2 linked regions of the Elephas maximus indicus genome follow. The protein of the gene in region 2 interacts with the protein of the main gene of each other region in a pairwise test. Links are inferred from orthologs where the notes say so. Each region holds a gene or a part of one and is shown on either strand. Other genes may lie near its edges.

Region 1 (10,994 bases), on a different chromosome or scaffold from region 2:
GAAATCAAATGACTCATTTCACTGGGCAAATCTGCCGCAAAAGAGCTTTTTAAAACGTTAAAAAGCAAAGATGTTACCTTGAGGACTAAGGCGCATCTGATCCAAGTCATGGTATTTTCAGTTGCCTCATGTACATGCGAAAGCTGGATGTTGAATATGGGAGATCGAAGAATTGATGCATCTGAATTATGGTGTTGGCAAAGAATATTGAATATTACATGGACTGCCAGAAGAACGAACAAATCTGTCCTGGAAGAAGTACAGCCCGAATACTCCTTAGAAGCGAGGATGACAAGACTTTGTCTCACATACTTTGGACATGTTATCAGGAGGGACAGGCCCTGGAGAAGGACATCATGCTTGGTAAAGTAGAAGGTCAGTGAAAAAGAGGAAGACCCTCAACAAGATAGATTGATACACTGGCTGCAACAATGGGCTTAAGAATAACAATCGAGAGGATGGCGCAGAACCGGGCAGTGTTTTGCTCTGTTGTGCACAGAGTCACTGTATGTCAGAACAGACTCGATGACACCTAACAACAGCAACAATAACAACAAGATGTCATCGGTTGTAAGATGCATCCTGATTTCAGAGATGTTTATAAAAATTTGCATCTTGGAATCACTGAAATACAACACATTGAATGAGACTGGGTAGCTTATTGTGAGTTTAAAAGGCATTTGAATTTCTTAATTCTGTTCATGTCCTTTGCTTATTCTTTGGAAGCAGGTTAAGAGCTTGGGGTTCAGATCCCAGCTCTACCACTTACAAGCTGCATGACTTTGGGCAAGTTACTTAACCTCTATGTGCCTCAGTTTCCTCGTCTGTAAAATGGAAATAATGATACTTACCTCATAGGATTGTTTCGAGGATCAAATAAATTAATATGTGCAAAACACTATGTGCCTAGACTATAGAAAATGCTCAATAAATGTTTGTCACTTTCTTTTGGGCTGTTCTTTTTTTAAGTTGCAAGAGCTCTTTATAAATTAAGGAAACTTATTCTTTTTCTCGTCCCCCCCCCCCCCATCCCTGGTTCTTATTCCTTTTTTTCTGGCCATCTGTTAAAAAAGTAACAGATGGAACAAAACTCAGATATTACAGAAATAAATTGTATAGGAAGAAGACAACGGAAAGGACTCAGATGTCCCTCAAGAGGGGAGTGAGTAAATGAATTGTACCACGACCCCCTACCCACACACTCCCAACTTTCTTCAGTAGTATATTTTCACAATGACAAGATCTAACTTCAAATAAAATATCTACTCATTTCTCAGAGAAAATCACACTTATGTTTAATGCTGTGGATCAGACACACCCCAGGCATACATGGCTCCATGAGTGTGCCATAAGGTATTACCAGCAAATGTGTCACACACCCTAACAACCACAGACCCCCTCCCAGGGATTTTACTCTTGGTCTTCTAGGTGCCCGTGACCTCTCCTGTCAACAGTTTGTCAGCTTTACTTTCTTTAGTTTGCATTTAAAAAGCCAGAGCATTCCATTGGGTTTTTTTTTCCTCCCTTAACTATAAATACAAAATATAAACATAAAATTATATGATGTTATCCATAACCTTGCAATCTTTGGATTAACATTGGCATCCTCTGGGGACTTGTTAGAAATGCAGAGTCTCAGCGACCTTCCTCTACACACACACATAATCAAAATCTGCATAAAAAAAATTGCATTTTAGTGATTGCTGTGCACAGAGTTTGGAAACCATTGCTGTAAAAAATAAGATACAAGTTTTATAAACTATATTGAAGATTATGTAGACTATAATACAAATAATCGCCCCAACGGCACTGGGTTTTTTTATAATACAAATATAGCGAATATATTTCTGTTTTGAACATACTTTTTCAAAGTACTCACGCCTTTCACATCCTAAAAAAACCCAGTGCCGTCGGGTTGATTCCAACTCATAGCGACCCTAGAGATTCCAGAACAGCCAGGTATTTTCCCACCTCGTTGAGAACAGACTTTTTGAATGAATACCTTGGAACAGTCCAGGCCTGTATGTCTCTCTGCACTGCCTCAATGTGCCAGCTTCCTGTATCTGTTAGGTATGCTTTTGGCTGAAGGTAACACCTACCTTTAAGAGCAGCTTAAGCAATAAAGACATTACCTGTCTAGGAAGCCAGTCCCAAAATTAATTCAGTAGTTTAACCACATCATCCATGACCTGGCTCTTGCCATCTTTCTGGGCTACAGTCTTCAGTGTGTATCTTTTTGGCCTCAGGCTTGTACCTCATGGTCTCAGTTTGGCTGCCACAGCTCCAAGCATCACAACTTTATATGGTAGGAAGGATGGAAGGGGACAAGAAGGAATTTCTCTCAGTCCTGGTGGTACAGCGGTTAAGAGTTCAAGCTGCTAACCAAAAGTTGAACCTGCCAGCGGCTCCTTGGAAACCCTATGGGTCAGTTCTACCCTCCCATATATGGCTACTAAGGGTCAAGGGTCGGAATGGTCTCTATGGCAACGGTTTTTGTTGTTTTTTTGTTTTGTTTTTGTATCTTCGGGAGGGAAATTTTCCAACCTCTGCTCTCTCCCCAATCCATTGGCCAGAACTGGGTCACAAGCATACCACTGGACCAATCACTGGCGAAAGGAGTGGCACTGCGGGAATTGGCTTGGACCAATCGTGACTCGTGCCTGGAGCGGGACCTGCCTCCTGAACAAAACCAGGGAGGGAGGGCAGGCATGTGGCGGTTAAGACTGGCAGTCAACGACCTCCACACCTCCACTCTGGACTCGCCGCCTCCACTTGCTGCCTGCCGCCCAATTCAGCCTCCTGATCCAGTCTCCTGAGGCAGCCAGGCTGTACTCTCTAAAAAACGCAAACCAGCTCATGTCCTGCCTGCAACCTCCCAGGTCCCACAGGTGGTGCCCCAGGGTTAAGAGAACTGAGTTCCATTCCTGATTTTACTCCTTCCTTGTTGTGTGACCCTGGGGAAGTCTTCCAACTCCTCCGAGCCTCAGTTTCCTTATCTGACAAATGGAAATGATAACAGGTACTTTGGGTCATGGAGGATTAAATAAGCCCTCTTCAAAATTCTTTAGTTCTATTAACCATTTTAATCCTCCCTACAATCCGATAAAACAAAACTCCGTTATCCTCATTACTAAATCTACCAGGCTAAATGCAAAACTCCGTTATCCTCATTACTTTTACCAGGCTAAATGCAGAGATGTGATGGGCCACACGCGCCGAGAAGCAATCCCATTCTGAGAACTGCTGAAGATGCTTGGGGTGGGGGGCGGAGCCTTGCCGAGTGAGCGTGAGCACATGGAGGACTACAACTCCCAATAGGCTTCGCGCCGCCGATGGACTACAATAACCAGCATGCTTCGGGGCGTCCCGCTTAACCTCTTCTTGCGAAGGCCTCAGCCTTTGGGAACAAGCTAGTAGGATTCCCTGCACAGGAATTCTCTCTTAATTTTGCTTGCGGGAAATCTACAAGAACCAAGGATTCTCCGCGAGTAGACCTTTATGATTATCGTGGATAAGTGGCTTGTGTTTTAATTCTCACTTCACCTGTTAGTGCTGAGTCTCAGTTTTCTCATCTCTAAAATGGGAATGTTCCTAGGAGTTGCCACATCGAGTTCTTGTGAGCAACAAAAGCGGCATAGTATAATGGCTTGGTAAATGCCAACTCTTCTAGTGGCCCCCCTCCCCCTCCCTACGTGAAAGCGTTTTATTTCAACATCAACCCAATGAGGTTGATACTATTATCCTCCATTTCGGATGGTAAAACTGAGTCCAGGAGAGGTTCAAGTCTCTTGCCTAATGTCACACAGGAAAGGGAGGGGCGAAGGACTCGAACTCTGGCAATTTCACTCCAGAGATGAGTCCACCTTAGAAGCCCAATGTTTCTGTTCCCTGCTGAAACTCTGGCGTCACTCAAAGTCTAGGGCAAGGGAGGCTTGAGTTACGTGATACATGGATGACCATTAAGTTGCATTGCGTGTGGCTAGTGCTGGGGAGGAGACTCATGTGGTGCTCTGAGCCAATTATAGCTGAATTTGACCTGGTTGGAGAAATCAGGAAGGCTTTTCTGAGGGAGGGATGCTGGATCTGAGAACTCAAGAGCGGAAATAGCACAGGCAAAGAGCCCTGAGGAAGGAGAAGACATGTTGTGTTCCAGAGACCTCCGAAAGGGCTAATGTAGCTGGAGAAGTCCAGCAAGACTCAGGTGTAGGCAGGGCCGGAGCTAGGGTAAGGCGAGGAGCCTAGGGTGCAAACTTTGAGGCACTCACTCTCGGGGTCATGCAAATGCAGGGTCAAGACCTGAGAGGGACGGCCTTCTTAAATATGGCACCCTAGCATCTTCACAATCACCTCATATGCATATGAAAGCTGGACAATGAATAAGGAAGACAGAACTCACTCCTTTGAATTTTGGTGTTGGCAAAGAATATTTAACATACCACGGACTTCCAAAAAAACGAACAAATCTGTCTTCGAGGAAATACAGCCAGAATGCTCCTTAGTAGCAAGGATGGGGAGACTAAGTCTCGTGTGCTTTGGACATGTTATCAGGATGGATCAATCCCTGGAGAATGACATCATGCTTGGTAAAGAGTCAGCAAAAAAGAAGACCCTCAGGTAGATGGATTGACATAGTGGCTGCGACAATGGGCTCAAGCATAACGATAGTGAGGATGGCACAGGACCAGCCAGTGTTTCATTCTGTTGTACATAGGGTCGCTATGTGTCGGAACCGACTTGATATCACCTAACAACAGCACGGTCTTTGCTGGCTACACCCTCGTCCCCTGGCCCTTGAGGGTAGGGTGGACGTCCATCCTCATTTTTCTGGGAGAGTCGGGGTTCCTGCTTGTGCCAATGAGATTATAATAGGCCCCATTTCATTCTGATGAGTGTCTTGGTTGAAAACTAATTTTATGGTCACTCAACTTGTAGTGTCTTTTATCCAGAGGGAATGGGGAGCCACTGAAAGCTTTAGCAGAACTCTTCTGCCATATGGAGAATGGACCATGAAGGCCTTGTCTCCAAGTGGGAGACAAGGGCAGCCTGCTCTGAATGGGAGAAATGGATGGAGTAGAGAGAGGCTCAGGAAACATTGCTGTCAGGACAAGGTGGCTGTGCTGGGCGAGGTTCTTCCAGCTTCCTTGCTCCTCGGTAGAGTCCTGGTCCTTGCTCCACCAGTGTTTAGCTGTGACCTTGAGCCAGTCCCTTCACCTCTCAGCCTGTTTGCACATCCATATAAGGGCTTCTGAAAAAGGAGGAGCCTCTGGGATTCAGTATTTATTTGCAAATATACGTCCCCAGGGCCTTTGCTGTCTCCTCTATCTCCTTATCATTCAAATCTCACTTGAAATGTGACTTCTTCAGGAGGCCCTCCCTGACCACTCCCTGCTCCCCTTCCCTGGTTTATCATAATTATGAAGAGCAGAAATGTTCTGTTTATTTACTTGCTGTCTCCTCTAACTAGAGCGTAATCCTCTTGAGAGCAGTGACCTGCTTCTTCAGGGATGTATGTCCATCCCCAAAGTCTAGCAAGGCGGCCACATAGTAGGTGCTTATTAATAGCGTTTGAATGGATAGGTAATTGAATGCTTTATCTGCCAGCTCAATGCCCCCAGAAAAGCATTTAGCTGCTTCTCTACAAGCCTCCTCTGCCGGGGAAACACCGACCCTGGAAGCAAATCTCACCTAGGTTCAAATTCTGACTCAACCACTTAACAGCTGAATAGATAAATCGTTTAACCTCTCTCAGCTTCATTTTTTACATCCACCCCCACCCGATATAGATGTAAGGATCCAAAGAGTTAGGAAAATGTTCGAAAACAAATAGGAATTAACTTTTTGTCTTAAGTCTGATCCCCCTTGGCCTTCTCACCAAGCACCTCAATACCTCCTTCGCACCATAGCCCGGAGGGATTTGAAGGTTCCCGAATCGTCGCCCAAGCAAATAACTCCTCTCTAAAAGCAAAAGCAAAGGGAAAAAAAATCTTCCCGGCTTAGGGCCGCACGGGTCCTACGAGCAGGCGTCAGTGGCGGCGTCTGCGCGTGCGCGCACGCCTGCGCATAAGGGCCAGGGGACGGGTTTGGGGGGTGAAGAAGGGGCCGGCCTTCGAGCGACAGCGACGCAAGATGGCAGCCACCACGGGCTCGGGTGAGCTGGGGTGCCGGGCCCGGCCGGCCGAGGGCGCGCGGGTTCGGGCCGGGACCGAGGACCCGCAAAGGTCCTCGCGGCCGGGCCAGGTTCTCTGCGCTGCCTCGGTCCGCCGGGCTTCGCGACGGCGAACGGGGAGGCCTGATGGGGAGGAGGAGCAGGCGGTGGCCGGAAGCACGGGCGGGGGCCTGAGGGGCCTGTGGGCGGCGCGGCCAGACCCAGAAGCTCCCCCGGGTGGCGTGAGGGGCCCGCTCGGAGGACTGCCGGTGCACTGCGGCGCTGCTCAGAGCCGGAGTGGGGATGACGGGCGAGCCCGGAGGGCACTGCTGAGGAAGCCGAGACTGGCGGCCTTTTTGGGGAGATCGAGGTGTTCCCTAGGGGACGAGGAGGCGCCCCAGGGCGGACGGAAGTCCACTACTGGGTGCGGGAGGTCCTGGTGAGGGGGAAGCCTTGGTATGTCTGTTTGGGGAGGACGTCAAAGAAGCCCCTCAGGATGGGTGGGAAGAGGGAACAGAATCCTGAGGGACTGACTGAGGGGATACCCTACTGGTTAGGGGGACGGCTCCAGCGTCAGCTTTGGGGATAGGATTAGCAGAGGAAATCTCCATGTTGAGTAGAAGAGGGAGCCTTGGGTTGGCCGCTTTTGGGGAGGATTAAGGGCATCGCCACAGGATGAACGAGAGGGGGAAACGGAGTCAGATTCCAGAGGAATCTGGTCCAGGCGACTGATACGAAATGGCCCCATCGTTACTAGACACCTATTTGAGGAGACAAATGGGTTCCTCCAAGTTAGAATTTAGGAGGTAAGCTCTGAGTTGGAGTTAGAAGCCTCCAACATCGGGTCGGGGAGAACAAGTGAGTTGGGAGCTCTGGGGTACCTGCTTGGGGGATTGTCACCTGAGGGGAGCCTCTCTGCAACGGGTGAGAATGGGAAAAGGTTAGGTTCCAGAGATGTTTCCTTTAGAGAAGAAAAACCTTTCCCTGTTTGGGTGAGGGAAGTATACCCTAGAAGTGTCTTTTGTGGAGACTGTGCGTCACTCTTTTCCACATCTTTGGATACTGGGGACAGATATGGGTTCAGCTTGGAAGTTCCCCCATTGGCTGGAGGTGGAAGTGGGGAGAGGAATAAATGAAATGGGAGCTCTGTGGTGGCTTTTTGGGGAAGGGAAGCTAAGCAAACCCCCACTTCTTCTGGAAGGACAGGAGAGAAATAAGGGCTACACTTTATGGGTGGAACAAAAGTGTTTCAGTCCCTAGAGAGGTCAAAGGAAGTAGCACTTATTTTGAGACTGGGTTTCCTGCTGTACTACTCTAAGATAAACCAGAGGATCAGGCCCCAAAGGGTCTGTTTCAGGGTTAACATGGGGTAAGGAGTGACTAGGGAAGATTCTCCAGAGGCAAGAGAGTCAGACTGTGAAAGTGCAGGCTTTGGGGGAGACTCAGTGACCCCCTTAGGGTGATGAGGCTGTACCCTGAGATGCCTGGTAGAGGAGTTGTCCAAGGAGATTCTCCCACATGGGGTGAGATTGGAAGGCCCCTGATAGAGGTGGCAAAGAGGGCCACAGGAGAGAAGGGAGTTAAAGGCCTGCAGCATGGTTACTGAAATCTTCAGGCTGTTCAAGGCACTAGCAGCAGTAGTATTGGGAAAGGGTTGGTCACCTAAGTGGAACAGTGTGGGGGAGTCCATCTTTCCATGATGTTGCTGTTCTCTCAAGCTCCTCTAGTATTCCAGGAAGCCATCCTTCTCTGATAGTTAGGGTGGAGAGTAGAAGGAATTGGATGGAGGGAATCTAACTGAAGTGACCCATCACAAGCTGCCCTTGACACTTAAAGCATTGGGGGGTCTTCGGGTCTCCCTGGAGGATAGAGGATACCGCACATCCTTTCCTAGCTTTTGGTTTCAGTTTGAACAGTGCTGAGTCAATTCATTGATCAAGACGCTAGCAACAGACACTCCCAGGAGAGGGAGGCTGGGTCAGGCTAGACAGCTGTGGATAACTTCTCATCAGAATAATGCCCCTGCCAGGTTGCTATGAACTGGGGGTACAGTGGTGCCTGTGGCAGCCAGCTAGTTATGGTGGTATCACAACCCAGCCCTGTTTGCAGTCACTCTGGAGTTTGGCTTCCTATTATCCGGTTTAACAGCTACTTAATTCTAACTTCTTGAGGCCCTGCCAGTTGAAGAGTGCTTCATGAATGCTGTGGCAGTCAGATGAAACAGTGTCAGCAGCTGTCTAGTGGAATATAAGAGTACTTGGTGTGGCTTAGGTAACATAGAACAGGCTTGGAGATGCCCTAAAATGGGCTTCCCATAACTCCTTTGTCTGTTTATTCAACAAATATTTACTGAGGGCCTGTTAGGTCCCATTGTGAGTAGTGAACAACAGGGGCATAGTCCCTGTCCTTGAGGAGGTTCCGTTCTAGTGGGGCAAGAAGGCCTTAGAAGAGAAAATAAGATGTTTCAGATAGCAGTAAGTGCTATGAAAGAAGTTGTGTTGTGTGATAGAGGGTGTCTAGAGAGGTGGTCAGGGAAGGCTTCTTTGAGAACATGTCGGCATTTGAACTGAGACAGTGATTGAAAGAGCCAACCTACAGAGTGTCACAGGCGGGGGAGGGGGAACAGTGAGTGCAAAGGCCCTGTGGTAAGAAGGAGCTTGACATGTTGAAAAAACAGACCAAAAAGCTGTAACATGCAAGGAAGGCTTGAAAAGGAGATGCATTGGAGAGAGTGAGGGAAAGCCATTGAACAGCACCCAGTACGAAGTAGATATTCAGTAAATATTTGTCGAATGAATGAATGAGAGTTTTAAAGAGCAGAGGAGTGACAGGATCTGAACTGTGCCCCTAGGCAGTTAAATGAGTACAGAGTCTTGAGAGTGGAAGCAGAGAGACCTGAGTAAAATGAGTACAGACACTGCTCCACTTTCTAACCCTCCGTATTTCAGGTGTGGTCAGGCCCTGAGACCTTCCTTAGTTGAGTTTAGAGTAAGCCTCTTGGTTAATCTGTGTTCCTGCTTGCCAGGAAACAGCTGTGAAGCCTTTGAGTTCCTGTAAGGGTTGAACTTAGTTTTCTGTGGTCACCGCTTCCAGCACTTGGCGGCAACACCTTCCCCCACCTCCTGTGGTTCTACAGTGTGTGATTTCTGCATAGATCCTAGAGGGTGGTACTGTGAAAAGCCCACCAGAAGCCCTCAGGATGCCCGTGCTGTCACAGGTGACTTCCTTCTGCCTTGTCCAGGATTGTAGAACCCCAAAAAGTGCCCCTTGGATGCCAGGACCTTCCTCTCACCCAGCATCCCTTGGACTTCCCTGACAGTTAATCAGAAACCAAGTGCCAGAAGGGTAAACCCTGGTTGGGCATGATTTTAAATTTGTGTACATCAGAGTGGCCTCATATATACATTCAACTTATGGGAATTTAACCCCATGAGCAATAGAGGTTAAGTAGTCTTCCATTCCATTCTAGGGTGTTCCCCAGTGACAGCTGGAGATGGGAGGTGAGAACCTGCAGTCCTTTAGCTGGTCTCAGTGCCCATGTGTTGTTTCACAATGTGAGCATCTTCTGTGCGATCGTAGTTAAGTGCCCTTTTTTTTTCTTTTAAACATCGTGGGCCCTACATTCAAGAGAAGTGCTTCAGCCAGAGAAATAGCAGTCTGCTCTAATGACGGAAGGAGTTTCTGGGTGGTGCAAATGGCTAAGCACTCAACTACTAGCTGAAAGAGTTGGAGGTTCAAATGCATCCAGAGGCACTCCAGAAGACAGGCCTGACCATCTGCTTCCAAAAGGTCACTGCATTGAAAGCCCTACGGGGCGGTTCTACACTGCACACATGGGGTTGCCACTCCGGCACAACTAACAACAACTTATGATGGAGGGGGATTGACTCTTTGGGCTAGTATAACCTAGTGCTCCTCTAAAGAGTTGCCAAGGTCAATTTTCCCCTTCTCTATCACTTTCAAACCACTCTCTTCCCACCACTGTGGTTTTTTTTCCTTTCCCCTCTCCTCCCCTCCCCTCATCTTTTCCTCTCTCCCGACTCCTCTCTCTCCTTTTCTTCCTCCCCCTCTGTTTTCCTCTCCCCTCTCCCCTCCCTTGTTCCCTACCCTCTTTCTCCTTCCCCTTCCGTTCTATCACCTTCACCTTCTCCCTCCCTTTCTTCCACCTGAATTTTAGTTCTACAATTTTGGTAAAAGTGGAATACAAAATGTAAAGTCAGAAATCCTGTTTAATTCTGAAAGTCCGCAGTGAAGTAAATATTTTAATACTATTTTCTGTATAGTGCTTTAGAGTTTTTCAAGTACTTTAACTTACCTGCATATCATCTCATCTAACTCTCCAGGACCTATTGAGCTAACCAGGCAAAGTATTGTCACCACAGTGTGACTGAGGGGAGAGCCAAAAGCTGAGAGAGATTGGTGGCTGGCTGAGGGAGTGGTGATGCTCAGAGGTTTTGACTCCAGTTCCCTCCCCAGCCTGCTACAGTACATTAGGAAGGAAAGGGAGAAGATGTGAGTTGCAGCATATGCTTGTCTTAGGTCTTGGAGCATTCACCCTGGGTGAGGAAAAGGACTAAAGAGACACACCTGCCACCCATTGCAGGAACCCTTTTTATGTTCCCTGACCACTCTGGACCTTTCTGGATAACACACGGGCCAACGAGAGTGAGGGCCATTTTTTAATGAAAACCTTGCTTATACCTTATACTGAACAACTCACACTCATTGGACTTGGGCCCCCACATGTCATGTCAGAGGAGGCCCTTGTCTTAGTTCTCCAGTGCTGCTATAGCAGAAATACCACAAGTGAGTGGCTCTAACAAACAAATTTATTTCCTCACAATTTAGG
Region 2 (10,471 bases):
CAAAGATGGGCTTGTCAACTTGATTCATTTGGATGTAGCCAGTTTAATACTATGAAGACCAGAGAAATATGATTTGAAACATTCTCCTGTATTATGTAAATAAAATATCGAACTTTATATGCATTAGAAAAACATTTGTTAAATACCTAGTATGATTGTAAGTATGGATGAAGAGATTAAAGGAGGACTTTGTAAAATAGAAGTGGTTATGTTAAGGTGAATTAGACCATTGTGATCCACAGGGCCTTCATTAACTGATTTTCAGAAGTAGATTACCAGGCCTTTCTTCCTGGTCAGTCTTAGTCTGGAAGCTCTGTTGAAACCTGTTCAGCATTTATATATCTGCTAGCAGGTGGATAAAGATGGCTCTTTTTAAGTATACTTTGATTCTGTAAAGTTAAATTGAATTCAAATATCTATTTAGCACCTATCATGTACCATGCATAGGCTAGACAGGGAAACATACATGAATTGTGTAAGGCATATGGAGATCAAGGTCAGAGTTTCAACAGAAAGTAGAACCAATTAGACAGTTAGATAGATAATAAGAAAGGCAGAGAAGCACTGAAAGAGGGGAAAAGGTACAGAGGGAGAGAAGAAGGGAGGGAAAGATGGAGGAAAGACAAAAGAGGAAAGGAAAGAAGGATGGAAAAAAGGAAGAAATGAAGAAAGTAAGGTGGGAGAGATGGAGGAAGAAAGAGAGGAAGGGACAAAAGGAAAAAGATAGGGAGGGAGGGAGGAAAAAGTAAGGGAGGAAGGAAAGGAAAAAGAGAACAGGGGAGCTAGGCAGACAGGTAAGTAGGCAGCCAGCCACTAAGATGGTCCCCAGTGATTCCCTCTTTCTGGTATTTACTAGCCTGTATAATCCTCTCCCCTTGAGCAACTTGCTTCTAGCCAATAGAATAGAGATTGAGGACATGTCACTTCTGTGGTTAGATTATAAAAAATCATGACTTCTGTCTTGCTAAGAGGTTCTCTTGTGCTGTCTTTGATGAAGCAAGCTGTCACATAGAGGCCCATGGGGCAAGAAACTGAGGGTAGCCTCTAGCCAACAGGCAGCAAGGAAGCGAGGCTCTCAGTTCAACAACCCTGAATTCAGCCAACAACCACGTAAGTGAGCTTGGACGTGGATCCTTCCCCAGTTGAGCTTTCAGATGAGACTCCAGCCCTGGCCAACAACTTGATTGCAGCCTTATGAGAGGCCATGATGCCGAGGACCCAGCTAAGCTGCACTTGAAGTCCTGACTTACAGAAACTGTAATATAATAAATGTGTGTTGTTTTAAGCTACAAACTTGTAATTTGTTATGGAGTAATAGATAAGTAATACAGAGAGACAGATATAATTTTATATTACTTCATGGGAGTGCTAGTAATTATAAACCTCTAGACTCAGACAAACTCTGTTAGGATGTACTAGTGTTTTAACTCCTTATATTTTCTTCCCTACGTTATATAATCAAGAAATGTCTCTTCCCCTTCAAACTTCAGTTGCTAAATGGTAAAAAAAAAAAAAAGGGGGGGGGGAGAATATTTTGTTGAGAAAAGTCATAGTGATAATGATAATGACAGTAAAAAATGATAACTGTAACTAACACTCAGCACTTATTCTTTATCAGGCAGCGTTCTAAGTCCTTTGGATCTATTAAACCATCTAACATTCCCAACATTCCTACCTGGTTGTTGTTGTTGGCTGTCAGCCATTAAGTTGGCCCCCAACTCGTGGTGACCTTGTGCATAATAAAATTAAACACCGCTCAGTCCTGTGCAATCCCTATGTTCAGTTGTGGATCGGACTGTTGTGATCCATTCAATTCTCAATGGCTGATTTTTGGAAGTAGATCTCCCCAGGCCCTTCTTCCTAGTCCATCTTAGTCTGGAAGCTCTGACAAAATCTGTTCAGCATCATAGCAACACCCAAGCCTCCACTGGCTAACTGGTGATGGCTCTGCACGAGGTGCATTGGCCAGGAATTGAACCTAGGTCTCCCGCATGGAAGGTGAGAATTCTACCACGGAACCACTTTTATACTACTACTATTATTTTATACTACTACAACTACTATTATACCTCTTTTGCAGAGGAGAAAAGTTAAGTAAATAGAGACTGAATAACTTGTCCAAGGTTACACGTTTGTTAGTTACAAAAAGTTACCAAGCATTACTTCAAATCACCTTCTCCTCTATTCCCTAACAAACTTCGCAGGTGAGTGTAGCTGAAATTCTAACCTAGATCTGTCTGACTCCAAACCCCTTGCTCTTCTCACTACAGAATGATGTATTTAATAAGTAAATGTATTTATCATAATAATAAATGCAATATAACGAACACTTCTACATGTTAAGCAAAGAGCTAAGCTTTTTACATCCAATATCTCATTTCGCTCCTGATAATCATCTGAGTTAGTTATTGTTATCCCCGTTTTGAAGAGAATAAAAAAGGCATTAAGCTAAGAACCTCCTTTGTAAGTGAAGAAAACAATACTTAACTCATAGAATGGTTTAAATGTTGAGTCAGAGTATGTTACGTTAAAGTGCTGAATAAAGAATATTTAAAGTGCTCCACAAAGAATATTTTTTAAATGTATCCATGTCTAAGGAATGCTAATATTGTGCCAGGTTGTGCAAACCCACAGGACAAAAAATGAGTGATATCCCCGGAGTGTTTATTTTACTGTGAGATCATGTGGTAATTAATTGAACTTGTAAGTAATTTAAACATTAAAAAAAAACACCATCAAGCAAACACTGTTTTTTTGTTTGTTTTTTAAGGGAAAAGAGAGGTGTTTTGTTTTTGTTTTAAATGGCATGCCTGAGCTACATCCCCAGACTGTTAGGAGTACTGTGAGCTCTCTTCTGTGATTGGGGAAACATCAGTATATATATATGAACAGTTTTTAACTGAAACTCTGGGCTGATAACTGTGGTTTTCAGCAACCAGGCTGCTAAATCTCCCTTCCACCACCACCTACTTGAGAAGGGGATATAACTCAGGTCTCAGGGCAGGAAAAAATGATTTGACAGCAACCCTCCCATATCCCCCACCTGCAATACAGGGGTTGGGAGAAATACTGCAGGCCCCATTCAGAGGGGCTCCCTGCCCATTCTATGGAGCAGGCCACACTGAGTCTCCAACATGGCAGAAACCTAGAAGCCCAGCCCACTGCCATCGAGTAGATTCCAACTCATAATCCCTGCTCTTTTCCGACGCTTCTGCTCAGAACAGCTCATCCCAGAGCCCTTGCCTTGGCAGGCTCACAGTCTGTGGTCAAAATGACAGCAAAGATTTGCCCTTTATTCTGTTTTTCCAAGTACTATGAATTCTTTCGCTCTTACACCAAATCTTACTTAATAAAATAGGAAGATAGCTGGTGTCATAATATGTGGGCATAGTCTTTCAGTGACTGTATGGGGCATATCATGAGCCTGATGAGCCTGGGTTTATAGCCCGGCTCTACCACTTCCTAGGTAATGACTACAAGAAAACTAGTGAATCTTTCAGAGCCTTGGTTGCCTCTTCTGTAAGCTGGTGCTACTGATAGCTACTGGAAAAGTTGTTGAGAAAACTAATTGCGACTTGTGACAATATATGTGAAATGCCTGGCATATTGCCTGTGCTCGAAAAACAGCAGCTCTTACCTGACTGACCCCCCCCCCCCCGCCCCAGGTCACACAGGACATGTGATTTGCCTAAGGTCACATTTCAGAATCTGACTCACTTAGTAACTCTTAGGTGCTGGGCTCTGTGCTAGCTGGTGCGACTACGAACAGGCATTGCCCTTCAGGGAGTTCACAGGTCTGGAGAAGATCACCTGTAAGTAGATAACTTAAGGCCAACCTTGTATATGCTGCATGAGAAGTCATCAACTTGAAACTCCTGCAGCTTGCTGAACATGCAATGAACACCTCAGAACTCCCAGGAGCCCAGGAAGGTGGGAGAAGCAAGCACCCTGGTCCCCTGGCCCTCTGAGGTTTTTGTCTGCACCCACCAGCTGCCAATTCTGAGCAAAACCTACCCTGGGCCCTGTAGTACCAGACTGGGCTCCCTCCTCAGTCCAGTCCTGAACTCAACCTATACTTGGCCTATCTGCTAAAACCCCAGATGGCAAGTTCATCACTGGGGCCTGAGCCTCAGAGCTCTATTGCAACCCGTGAGTCCAGAAACACCAGGCCTGTTCAGCACATGCCATGAAGTACACCAAGCCAGGCTCCTGTTGGCCTCAATATTCCAGAAGCTGAGGCTTTTCAAACCAGCAGTTCGGAGGATGTGAGAGCTGATCTTAATTTTTAAAAAAGCAGCTACCGTTAATTAAGTACAAACCATTATACTTCTATAATCTCAGTTAATCCGTATAGCAAACCTCATCTCCATTTAGAGATTAAAAACAAAAAAAGTTAAAAAGCGAAGTTTCTCAGAACTGAGTAAAATCTGGGCTCTGATACTAATAAGCATGTGGCCTTCTTATTCAACCATCTAGGCATCAGCTGCCTTTTCTCACTGGGTCATGGTAAAGAGTAAGTGAGTTATGTCTATGAAGTGCTCACCATACCTGCAGTCAGACATTAAATGCTCAAAGGATGTTCTACAATCCTTGCTGGTTGTTTTATCATTGTTCAGCATCACATAGCTCAATGGGATTTTAAACCCAAGCTCATCCTACTTCAAAACTATATAGTATTATCCATAACTTTATAGTATGGTCATCTGCAGGGGCAGGTAGCTGGACTCAAACAATCTAACTGGCTGCAGATCTTGGTCAAGCAATAGGTCAGACTGCCTCCCACCTGTGAGGGGTCTACCCTTCAGTCTGCAGGGTCAGGAGCTGTAGTGTGTGTCTCCGCATCTACCTCTGCTATCAGCCTCCCTTCTGAGTAGGTGAAAAACTCCTTCACAATAGAAAACTGTTTACAGATAAGCTTGTCTCTAATAAGCAGTGTGTCATAGAAATAGGGAAACCAGGCACTGCCCTTCTAAGAAATCCAGGTTCTGTGCCTGCCCCAGAATGAAAGTTTTATTCTTGCCTTGACCCTTTTCTCAGACTGGGACGCTGAGGTTCAGAGAGGCTTTTCTCTGAGTTGCCCAGGCTCAAAGGAGAACTACTCCTGGTGATCGCCTTTTAATGAAAGGGTTAAGATATTGGGATTTGGAGTCAGTCACGCGCCTGCAGGTTTGGCTCCTGACTCGTCGAGTGGATATGGGCAGGACCCATATGCCCTTGGGCCTCAGTTTCTTAATTTACACAATGGAGACAGAAAACTGGATTAAGCATGGTTTACAGCCCCACTTCTTGCTCTCACCTGGCCCTAGAGCCCCGAGCTAGGGCTAGCCCGACTACAAGCCCCGGCATGCCTCGGGAGGGCGGAGCCCAGTGAAGGACAGGCGGTTTTGCCAATCGGCGCCGGTCAAGGAGCGCGCGGCGGCGCGTGCGCAGAGGGCGGGGGCGGGTGGGCTGGCGGCGGTGGACGCGTCGGAGCTGCGGGAGGTCAGGTAGGGGGCGGGCAGGAGGGTCGGGGACAAGAGACCCTGGCCCGAGTCGCGGACAACGGCTGAGCGGCGGGGAGGGGGGCTGTGCTGGCGTGTAGAGGCTGGGCCCGCGCCCGACTAGCAGGGTCTGGGGATCGGATCTGAGGAGTAGCTCTGGGGTGGGGGTGGGGGTGGGGCAGTGAGGGGCAGGCTCCGGAGGGATTCGATGTGGCTGAAGATCTCAGGGGAGATGCAGCGCTTGGGGCGGAGGCGAGGGTGGGGTGGGGTGCGAAGACTTGCTGTGCAACATCTCAGGAGGTATGAGGTAATACGGGGGCCCGGAGGAGACGGGGTGCAGCATCTGGTAGGTTCGGGGAATCTAAGGGCCTTGGAAGGGTTTGGGGGTGCAGGATTTCGGAAATAAGAGGGAATCGGGGTCCCTGATGAGATTTAGGGTGCAACATCTCAGGAGATTCGAGGAAATCTCGGGACGCCAGGCATTTGTTTGGGCAGGGCAAGATCTGAGATCAAAAGGAGCAGGGTCTGAGGCGATCCTAATTGCTAAAGAGGGAGGGTTTTCCTGAGTAGGATCTGGGAAAAATTGAAGTGGGGAGTTCTTGGGGGAATCAGAGGGAAGCAACATCTTGTTAGAAAAAAGAAGAGACCTGGCTAAGATTTGAAAGCAACACATGACATGGGATGGGTGAAAGGAGAAGGAGCAAGGTTTGAGGATGGCACAGTGCCTGGTAGAATACAGAGAATGGAGGATAAGATCAAGAGAGAGCAGAAATCTGAGGTGTGGGATCAGGGTGTTTGGAAGGAGTTGGGGTACAGGGCTGAAGGCTTCAGAGATTTGGAAACGGATTAAGGGGTCTTTATCAAAGGAATTTGGGATGCATGGGTGAAGAATTGGCGAAGGTTGCAATGTAGAGCCCAAAAGGTTAGACTCTTGTATTGTGAGATGGTTTGGAACACAATTTGGAGAGGATTGAACAGGTTGCAGAATTAAAGGACTCTGAATAGGTCTGTGGGTTGGCGACTTGGGCTGCTAAAAGAATTTTCTTGAAATCTCTACATGGGAAGCAAAAGGAGTTTGGGGACCCAAGAACCTAGAAGTAATATGGAAGTGTATATATGAGTATGAGTTCAGGGGTTCAGGAATGAAGTTATAGATCATCAGAGATCAGGACTCCTGAAGAAGCATGACTTCCCCTCAGAGGGGCAGAATCTCCTTCACTTTTCCAGCAAATATCCCTTGTCATGAGGCTGGCATGGTACACCACTAACTCCACTCTGACCCTGGGCCAGCTGAAAGTGGTAGACTTTGGGGAGAAGATATTGGTGAAAGGGAGGATAAAGCAGAAAACTGTTCAAGGCCATCCTTCTAGGTCCTGTCTTCCCTACCCCTACCTCTGCACCATGGAGGTGCTAGCAGATAGTGTGTGAGATGTCCAGGGAAATGAGTGAAACATTATCTCAGGCCTTATTTTCCTCATCAGCTAAATAAAGTGGATTGAATTAGATCATATTATTAAAAAAGAAATTGTTGCTGTCGAGTCGATTTCAACTCATAGTGACCCCGTATATAAAAAATAATAATAATAATTAGGACCCATTTAAAAACCAAAGAGTCAGTGGCTTTGTGAATGAGGTGTTTGTTTTGGCTGGGAGAAGGGCAAGAAAAAGGGAGCTCAGGGTTCAGCATTTAATCCTTTGCAAGTCTCTAGAGCAGTGGTTCTTAACTATGGGTGATTTTGTCCAGCAGGGGACAGTTGGCAATGTCTGGAGATGTTTTTTGGCTGTCAGAATAGGGGTTTGGGGTACCGCTGGCACCCAGGGGGAAGAGGCCAGGGATGCTGCTAAACTTCTTACAATGCCCAGGAAAGCCCCCAGAACAAAGGATTATCCAGCTGAAAATGTCAATAGTGCCAAAGTTAAGAAACCCTACTGTAGAGTCATATCTGAGGTTCTAATGCTGGCTCTGTTTCTTCTGATTTAGTAATCTTGAGTGAGTTATTTAATCTCTTTGCCTTGGCTCTTCATTTGTAAAATGGGGTTCTTAACAGGACCTACATCATAGAATTATTGTGTGAATTCAGTGAAGTGAGTCAGGGTGCCCCGTGTGTGGCATATAGCAAATATACAATAAATTTGGCAATTTTTAGTTTTTATATCCACTTTTCCAGTTTTCACAACAGTCTTATTAAGTGTCTCTATTATATCCAGTTTTACACATGAGGGAACTAAAGCTTAGAAAAGGGAAGCTACTTGCCCAAAGTTTCATAGCTAGCAGTGAAGTCAGAGCTAGGCTCATATCCAGATCTCTGTAGCTGTATATTCTCTCTTTTCCTTGCTTCTTTTTTTTGTGGGGGCCTGTTTAGTCTTATTATCTCAGCCCATTCCCCTTCAAAGTAAAGGAGGATTGTCCAGTTGGTATCAGTGAATATCAAACAGAACCCTAGAAGGGGTATTCTATATGATTAGGTAGGGAGTAACCGTGGACTTTGTTCTTGGTTTGCTATTAGACCAGGACCAATGGGTGGATAAGGGGAGGAGCTTAGGTTAGCAAGCAGGATGAGGTGCATGGGACCAGAGGGTGAGGTATGGAGGCCCTTGGCTTAAAAAAAAATACAACCGCATAGCAGGGAAGGCAGGAAGCTGAAGGCCATCAAACCAAAGGAGAGTAATTACTGTTCTGAATGATCTCTTTTGGGCTTCTTTCCCCTGGGACAGAATAGCCACACTGGCTCTCTCAGCTCAAAGACTAAGCTACTTAAAGCATTGCTGAAGCCAGCACAGAAACAGCTGGATTGGATCTGAGGGCAAGAGACTCAGCTGGAATACCTCACCCTCCCCAAGGGAAATATTTAATGAGCATTGAATCGGCCTGGGAATCAGAGGCCTGAAGTCCAGTGTCCTTACTCTCCTGCTAATTTACTGTGTGACCTTGGACAAGGACTTGTCCTATCTGCCTCAATCTGTTACAAATAGCTACCATTTGTCACTTATGTGCTAAGTAAAAGATCCCTGGTGGCACAGTGGTTAAAGCACTTGGCTGCTAACTAAAAGGTCAGCAGTTTGAACCTATTAGCCACTCTGCAGGAGAAAGATGTGGCAACCTGCTTCCATAAAGCTTTATAGCCTTAGAAACCCTACAGGACAGTTCTACTCTGTCCTGTAGGGTGGCTATGAGCCAGAATTGACTCGATGGCAGTGGGATGTGCTAAGTGTGTGTACTCCACATGTGTTATCTCAGTTAATCCTGACAATGACCCTGCCAACAATCTAGTTGTTATGCCCCATTTTACAGATGAGAAAACTAATAGGTTAAATGACTCACCCAAAGCTACACAGCAAGTGACAAAGCTGGGATGACAGTCCAAGTCTAACTCCAGAGTTTTAATAGTTTTATTAGATAGGCTTTTCCAACTCTAAGAGCCCATGTATCCATATCTGGAGCCTATATGTCTAAACTTCTAGGTGGTAGCGAGAAGTTTACAGGACCCTTGAAGTGGATCATTGACTATGCACACCTGTGACACTCTCTCCATTATGTCTTCTAGTAGAACAATTAGATTTAAAAATCATCCCTAGGTGCCTTTACCAGCCTCTTAGCTGGACTCTTCCTAGAGGCATTGGCAGCCAAATCAGCCAGGGAATTCTATAACATATCTTTTGAGTCAGCATGGTTTTATGGCTTGGAGTCAACACTCCTGGATTTGAACCCCAGTTCTACTGCTTACCATGTTTGAAACCTTGGACAGATTCTCTGAGCCTCTGATTTATAAAACCCACCCACTGCCTTTGAGTCGATTCCGACTCATAGCGACCCTATAGGACAGAGTAGAACTGCCCGATAGAGTTTCCAAGGAGCACCTGGCGGATTCGAACTGCTGACCTTTCAGTTAGCAGCCATAGCACTTAACCACTATGCCACTAGGGTTTCCCTGATTTATAAAGAGGTATAATACTTGATAGAGCTTTTATGAGAATAAGAAATAATCTATGAAAGGTGCCTGGCACTCATGAATGGCACTTGTTTTATGAGAGGAAGGCAATGCTGGAAGGGAACTATGTTGCCATGCCGGATTTTAGTGACCCTAAGCAGCCTCTGTCAGTTACCCCAAGATTCTCATCCCCTTTTATACTTTACCTAAGATCTGCTTACAGAAAACAAAAAAACCAAACCCATTGCCGTTGAGTTGATTCTGACTCATAGCAACCCTGTAGGACAGAGTAGAACTGTCTCACAGGGTTTCTAAGGAGCAGTTAGTAGATGTGAACTACCGACCTTTTGGTTAGGAACTGAATGCTTAACCACTGTGCCACCAAGGCTCATGATTAAATGAACACACGTGAATGCAAAGAAAGGACTCAACGGAAAATTGAGTTGGTTGAGATGAGTTGGAGGTGCCCCAAGAGAAGACTGCTGATTTTTCCCTTGACCTTTATCATCTGAGTTATAATGGCAGCATTATTGCTACCCAGATGTATGTGGAAGATGCAAGGGAAACTGTCTAGGCCCTTCAGTTTTAGAGGAAGACAAAGACAGGTATCGGGCAAGCATTTTTCTAGCAAACCCTATTGCTAACATTTTCTTCCCCAAAAACATACTTCCTTCTGAGTTTTATGTATCCCAGATGGGCTCAACTTTGGGGTCGTGCCTCTGCAAGCCCCCATTTATTGAGTTTCTCTTAGCTCTCTGCAGGTGCCCTAAATGCCCTGAGTCAACTGCATCCAGATCCTCTCCCACACACAGGACTGGGTGAGTGTCAGGTGGTGACCTCACAGACTTTCTTAAAATCAGTCTTGTTGGCCACTCCCAGAGAATGACCATGGAGGGCATGGAGATGGTTATGCACTTGATTAGCATTTTGTTAAAATACAGGAGGAATAAATACAGTTTTGGAAGCCAACGTGAAAGAAGATGTGATAAACCTTGCAAAAACAAATCAAAATAACAACAACAAATCAAACCAGGAGAGTGTGTCAATAGTAGAACCTTTATG

What was found. The genes of interacting proteins can lie anywhere in the genome.
Region 1: the proteins of TRIM32 (region 2) and UBE2V1 interact in binary tests that used the Homo sapiens proteins (3 or more experiments, as listed by UniProt). The link is inferred for Elephas maximus indicus from reciprocal best matches to the Homo sapiens genes TRIM32 and UBE2V1.

Annotation. Positions count from the first base shown.
Region 1 is NC_064843.1:19,546,423-19,557,416, forward strand, and holds the start of UBE2V1 (ubiquitin-conjugating enzyme E2 variant 1), read left to right. Parts: upstream 1-6,625; 5' UTR 6,626-9,810; coding exon 9,811-9,934; intron 9,935-10,994. UniProt on the Homo sapiens protein: Has no ubiquitin ligase activity on its own. The UBE2V1-UBE2N heterodimer catalyzes the synthesis of non-canonical poly-ubiquitin chains that are linked through Lys-63.
Region 2 is NC_064827.1:66,202,151-66,212,621, forward strand, and holds the start of TRIM32 (E3 ubiquitin-protein ligase TRIM32), read left to right. Parts: upstream 1-5,430; 5' UTR 5,431-5,486; intron 5,487-5,813; exon of another isoform or gene 5,814-10,471. UniProt on the Homo sapiens protein: E3 ubiquitin ligase that plays a role in various biological processes including neural stem cell differentiation, innate immunity, inflammatory resonse and autophagy.